Kluyveromyces lactis: one gene and its partner. The protein of the gene in region 1 interacts with the protein of each later gene in a pairwise test. Links are inferred from orthologs where the notes say so. Each region holds a gene or a part of one and is shown on either strand. Other genes may lie near its edges.

Region 1 (3,938 bases):
TGATGCGGCAAGAGCCATCAACGAACCAGTAATTGGCTGTATCTTTGGTACTGGTACGAACGGCTGCTACATGGAAAAGCTTGAAAATATTCACAAATTGGATCCAGCTAGCAGAGAAGAACTTCTGTCTCAGGGGAAGACCCATATGTGCATCAATACCGAATGGGGCTCTTTTGATAATGAACTAAATCATTTGCCTACTACAAGTTATGATATTAAGATTGATCAGCAGTTCTCCACCAATCCCGGGTTCCACTTGTTTGAAAAAAGGGTCAGTGGTCTTTATTTGGGTGAAATACTTCGTAACATACTACTAGACCTTGAAAAACAAGAGTTATTCGACTTGAAGGAATCTGTTTTAAAGAACAATCCCTTTATTTTAACCACAGAAACTTTATCACATATCGAAATTGATACCGTTGAGAACGACTTACAGGACACAAGGGATGCTCTTTTAAAGGCTGCTGACTTGGAGACCACCTTCGAAGAACGTGTCTTGATCCAAAAATTGGTAAGAGCTATTTCCAGGAGAGCTGCATTCTTAGCCGCAGTGCCAATTGCTGCAATTTTGATCAAAACCAACGCTTTGAACCAGAGTTATCACTGCCAAGTAGAGGTTGGTTGTGACGGTAGTGTCGTTGAGCACTATCCAGGATTCAGATCTATGATGAGACATGCATTAGCACTTTCTCCAATTGGCCCCGAGGGTGAACGTGATGTCCATCTACGTATCTCCAAGGATGGTTCCGGTGTTGGCGCTGCTTTGTGTGCTTTGCATGCAAATTATTAATTTTAATGACATTTTTTAAACATTTTGATTTGGTTTTAATTCCGCATATAATGCAGTTACGTCTATGAATGACTTTAAAGGATGAAAAACAATAACAATACATTCGCTACAGAGCACCAAACGCACATTTACTTTTATGTAGTTACAGTAGCCAGAAATCTGTTTAATGTATTCAACTCACTCTCTTATAACTTTGTTATGTAAGCTTACTTTATCTATTGGTATCGTACCTTTTTTTTTCCTTTGATTTACAACTGCCCTTCTTCGAGAAATCCCTTAAAAGACAATTTCATAAAATTTAAACCAACCCTCACTGGTTACTTCACGAAAGAATAGTTGAAGATAAAAGAGTTGCTACAATCATTTACAGAACTCATTGACCAAGCAAAGCTTACAGAACAGGTTCTTTAATCACAAATCACTCATAGGTTGGTCGAAATTAAAAATTATGGCTGTTCAAACCGCAGGATCAGACGTTTCACAGAGCAATGCTTCTGTCAGCACTGTCCCTACTAGCCATGACTCGTTCATTCCTAAATATACCAAAAAGCCTTTGTCACATCTAGACATTGACGGATCAGATCAACCTTTCGATCGAGTGCAGTTAACAAAGTTGTTGATTGATGCTTTAAAACAAATCGGATATGAAGAAACTGCAATTACCTTACAAAAGGAGAGCGGTGGGATATTGGTCGAATCAACTCATGTGAAGTCATTGTTTTCTGCTATAAAAGAGGGTAGGTTTTACCACTGTACGTTGGATCTATTGCTTCAGCTACCCATATTTCTCGAGTCCCTTGAACTATCAGGTGACTTATCACATGTCGAATTACCCCAAACAAAACGCAACATTTCAACCACAATAATTGACCACTTTCTCGCTGAATATGAGAAACTAGGTTTCGTGATGAAACGTCTGTCCGAATTCAAGGACGTTGATATAGTTAAGTTAACTATATGCGTGGAAATGCTAGTTGCAATTCAAACTTTGGCTTTCTCTGAGATTTTGATGTCAGATAGACGAATGGCCTTGGAATTATTAAGGCTTGTCATTAGACCTACGATCTCGATTTGGGATACGTTGCTAACACTGCAAACAATGAAATATGACTCAGAAATACAGTGGCAAACAGGAAATGATGTCATGTATTCCAACTCTTTTTCCTCTTTCCAACCTGAACACTTATTATCGCAGCTTTCTACCTTGATTGTATGTGGTCAAAACTCCAATGCTGCACCTTTCGTTACCAGAGAGGCCACATTTGAACACATCGCTCACTTTATTAATCCTAATGATTTAGTTCCTCGTGGTAGATTAATGCAACTATTGAAACAAGCAATTCAATACCAACGTTCAAGAGATTTGTTAAGCTTTCATATTGAGGATTCATCAACTGGTACTAAAAGAAGTGCTTCAAGTACCTATAATTTGTTACAGGATAATGTTACAAAATCAACTCAGTTTCAATTTGATAACATCAAAACATTGAATCGCAACAATGACGAAATCTGGTTCTTACAATTCTCGTCAGATGGGAGATTTTTGGCCAGTGCAAGCCCCTCAAAGAAATTCGAAAGGAAAATCATCATCTATGATGTAAAAAATAACTTCGAAATATATGCTATATGTTGTGAAACTCGTCAGTCTGTTTTATATCTTAAATTTTCCCCTGACAACACGAAATTGATCGCATGTTCAATCAACTCCGCTGCAAAAATATATGACCTAAACCAGCTATCCCCCCCTACATATGATGGCTATTTATGCGAATATGATCAGCTTAAACCTGTAGCATCCGTATTTGTTACATTCCCCACGACTTCAGATTCATCTGCCATTTCATCTAATAATACACCAGCATCAGCTGAAACTATGAGGTTATGGTGTGGAGATTGGTTCCATGATCCCGAATTGAAAGACTTCATCGTATTAGGTTCTCCGGATTCTGATGTAATAATTTATGACATGAAAACGGCTACCATTTTCGCTAGAATTTCGATGACTATGGGAGAAGATTTAAAGTCGTCCTTCCCTCATGTTCATGATATCAAGATTTCATCTGATGATAATGACTTGATTGTGATGAATAATGAGAAGTACATTGATGTGTTTGACATATCAACGTTGAAATACTGCATTAAAGAGAATGCAACGTTCGTTTCTCCCAGAAAGAGACGATTATTGATCGGTAAAAGAATGACTGGAATGCAGTTCCCAGACACTTCTCAATGTTCTCCAGATCCATCACTATCATCATTATTACTAGTCTCGATTCAAAACCAAGAGCTACAACTTTGGGACTATCAAAGAGATATTTTAATACAAAGGTACATCGGTCAAATCCAATCAAATTTCATAATACGTTCATGTTTCGGTTATTATTCAAATTTTATTGCAAGTGGTTCCGAGGATGGAAAGATTTATTTGTGGGATAGGTTCTATGGTAATATCATTGGTGTAATACCTGCCCATTCGGAAAATTCGACAAGTTCACAATCAAAGATATGTAACATTGTTGCATGGAATCCTCAAGATCAAACAATGTTTGCATCCGGCGGTGATGATGGTCTAGTTAAAGTATGGAGGGTATCTGCTACATAGTAGACAATTGTCTAGCTTCTCTTTTTCCTCTTTCCACGTCCAAACCGTGGAAGACTGGTAGTGAAACCACCAAAAAAAGGAATAACAAGTAAAATGCATACCTAATATTATGAGTTTTATCTGTAATTAAGCCGATCAACAGTGGTCCTAGTATTGAGGAGCCTTTATCAGTTACACTAAAAAGACTGAAAAATGTAGATTCTTTCCCACGTGGTACAAGCAAACTGAATAACGAACGCGACACAGCAGCTAAGCCTCCCAAGGACACACCATACCACACTCCCAAGATATACATCTCAAATTTGTGTTTCAAACCAATGTTTTGGAATACAAATCCCGTCATCCCATACAATGGAATAACACTAGACCAAATGATTATAATGATCAAAACCTGCTGCAAGGGAAGTCTCAAACGTTCGCTTAATAAATGGGGTATGTAGACAGCACCAAGCATTGCCATAACCATCGTTATGATACTTAGAGTAATTAGATTTATAGCTGTCATCTTCAACTCCGTTTTGGCAAACAAAATGGCAGTAGAGTTAA
Region 2 (3,139 bases), on another chromosome or scaffold:
TTAGAAACCATCGATTCATACATGACGATTCGTACCATGCCACAGAATGGTTTGATGAAAAATCCGGTCTCATAATCGAGGAGTTCGAATCGAGGGAAAAGTTCTTTGCCAAACCTGTGCATGTCGCTCACATATACGTTAGATGCCAAGTTATCGACGAAGATACCAAAAAGCTTCTGTTGGATAATCCAATCACATTCCACATTGAATTCTCACCAGAAGAATTCGAAAATGAAAAAAGACCAGAGTTTGGTTGTACATTAAGGCTATTAAAATCAAAACTTTATCACTTCTTTAAAGATGGTCACTTTTATGATCAGTTCAAACAGCCAAGCAAAACCTTCACCATTACCAAAAATGTAAAAATCTACAACACCATGAGCGAGGAACTTCCAAAAAACCTCGACGATATTCAATTGTGTTTCTTAAAGATGGAAACTGGTGACACTATAGACTGTGAGTTTTTGGTGTGAAAATTGCAAGCTGCCGTTAAATGCTTGAAAACATAATGTGAATATAGGGAACCCATGCATATATAGTATAAAAGATTATAGATTTTGCACTAAATCACTCCTTCAACCCTCGGAACACCAACATCCGAACTATGCAATTGGTTTTCACACCAAACCCAAAGTTTCATGATTTGTACCAATCTAACGTCGTTAGGGATATAATAAGAATGCAAGTTCTCACCTAACTCTTCAAAGATTTCACCTTGTATGCGACTCATGTCGGAATTGGTGCTCATAGAACTTCCCTGCTTTTCTTCAATATGTGCTAGCTCTCCGGTAAGCCTTTCTGTCGTGATAGATTCCCTTGGAATGGATCGTATAACGTTTGTTAGAGTGGGAACTCGATTTGATTGGAAGCTGGATCCTAAGATGTCAGGTAAACCAGATTTTTCGAGTTGAGAGTTTATCCTCGGTAATATCGATTGCAAAAGCTTTCTGTTCACTAGATCAGCTACTTTAGTTCTCATATTTAAGGAATATAGCTGTTTCAACTTCTTTGGTAACTTAGCAGAAGGACTCGAACCATCCTCATCCGATAACGGGAAGAGAAGAAGGGTCATAACTAATTCGACTTCCTTCATATACTCTTTTTTGGAGCTTGCTTTCAAAGCAAGTTTATCCTGAGCATAAGAGATAAGCTCTAATATAAACTGCTCCTGATCGTTAGGGTCGCCCTTGGCGTTGTGGGAACGAATCATTTCAATAAGGTTCAACAACAATAGCTTGAAGTTCAAATCTTCATCTGTAATATGGTCATTCAAACTTTCGAGTACCTCTATTCCAAATACCTCGGTAATCTTTTCCATAGCTAGTAAAATTTCACCCTTCTTGATAAGTTCCTTGATGTATGCCCTTTTCTTAATCATATATACAGAGTTGAATTCTTCAATGTCTTTGTTGGAATTCAAAAACCCAAGCTCCTTAGCCATGCGGATACTAGATTCCTCATATGCCATCACCACAAAATAGTTCAATAATAACATTGGTATTACCGGCTCATTATTCGACAACTCACTGTTGCTGCGATCATAGGGATTGGCGTCCTGCACCACTTTCATCCATTGTTCTCTAGTGAAAGATTTCTTCTCATAGGTAGATTTAAAATTGGTCATCGTTTGTATGAAGCAATAAGTCTAGGGAAAACTAGATTGGCTTATGCTTAGCGCAAATAGTATAGTACCACTCTTTCTTTCAATATTAGGGGCTAAGGAAGTCTCACTTTCAACTTACAATTAGGTGCTCATTTTTTTGTTTTTCTGTTGATAATGCCCAGTTTCTTTACTAAGTGATGTTAAGGTTCATTTCGTGAAAAACCTTTGTGAATAAATAAGGGAACAGGCCTCTGACGACGAGGAAATGGGACAGATCAATTCTGAAAAGAAAAGGAGTTCATGTAGATATCAAATCGTGGTTTGTAGCTTCAGATAACAGTAATCGAGAAACTTCTCAATTTAAATCTTCTTGAATCTGGACTCTTTTTTTTGTATCTTTCAAGTAGAGGGAAACGATTCATGAGATGTCACTCATAGCAGCTATAGTCGACATTTTACGTAGTAATATACAAAACAGTAGACATATCGAGGGCATAACACAGATTTAAAAACTTTACAGTTTCAATATTCATTGGTTTAGGATCAATAATGAAATGGAGGAGGCAATCCAAGCCGTTTCTATATTCTAAATTGAAACTTACTTAGATTCTGATGACAAAAAAGTGTCAAATCAAATTAAGGAACTGAAATGATCTATACAAAAATGAAATGATATAAATATATGCGTACTTTTCCGAGTTCTTCGAACATCAAATAAGCCAGGTATTTAAGGCCAAGAGTAGATTCGAAACTAACAGAGAGGTAACTCGTTAGATTGCAATCTCATTATCATTCAATTGAAATAACAAAATAGAACCACAGAGCCAAACCAAATTTTTTTGCCAAGACACAGTCGATATCATTTTGAATAATATATTCGTTCAACATTGCTTATCACACATACACATAAATAGACATACGGCTAGTCAGTATAATTGTTATTATGACATTCATGGAAACTATGACAGCGTCGCTGGCACAAAAGGGGTCCCAAAGTCCCAAATCTGGTTCTATTTCATCATCTGCAACTCCTACATCGAGAACACCTCAATCATTATCCCAAAGTGTCAGCTACCATAGTGTTGCTTCCATCCCAAATCTATTGAACTACGACAGGCAGAACGATTCGAGTATTCGGACAAACAAGACGTCACAAACAAACATTACCGTTTCAACGACAGGAAATTTTCTTTCGTCGTCAAATTCGTCACCGCAAATTAGTCCTCGTCAAAGGGACTACCATTACGGTGGTCACTATAGAAGTGGATCCCTTGATTTTTTGGCTGACACTGCGATCGACCAGGATATGAATCAAGAAGAATTCAAACGGATTTTGAAAAGACTATCAGAGTACAATGAACAGTTGACATTTCATTTGCTGACATGGAGTTCCCAGAAGATTAAGGATGTTTTGGTCAATGATCTCACCCAACTTTCCAACGAAACAAGATCTATGTTAAAGGTTACGAATAGGTTGTTAGAGTTGAAGAACATGAACGATTGGAACAGGAAAAAACCGCAACTCCCTAGTATTAA

Evidence for each region.
Region 2: the proteins of GID7 (region 1) and GID8 interact in binary tests that used the Saccharomyces cerevisiae proteins (3 or more experiments, as listed by UniProt). The link is inferred for Kluyveromyces lactis from reciprocal best matches to the Saccharomyces cerevisiae genes GID7 and GID8.

The regions. Positions count from the first base shown.
Region 1 is NC_006039.1:88,740-92,677, forward strand, and holds GID7 (glucose-induced degradation complex subunit GID7), read left to right. Parts: upstream 1-1,238; coding exon 1,239-3,392; downstream 3,393-3,938. Other genes in the region: KLLA0_C01155g (uncharacterized protein), read left to right, coding at 1-790; ATG22 (Atg22p), read right to left, coding at 3,385-3,938.
Region 2 is NC_006042.1:1,569,775-1,572,913, reverse strand, and holds GID8 (glucose-induced degradation complex subunit GID8), read right to left. Parts: upstream 1,625-3,139; coding exon 563-1,624; downstream 1-562. Other genes in the region: ERG29 (Erg29p), read left to right, coding at 1-473; GAT2 (Gat2p), read left to right, coding at 2,547-3,139. UniProt on the Saccharomyces cerevisiae protein: Component of the GID E3 ligase complex recruiting N termini and catalyzing ubiquitination of proteins targeted for degradation.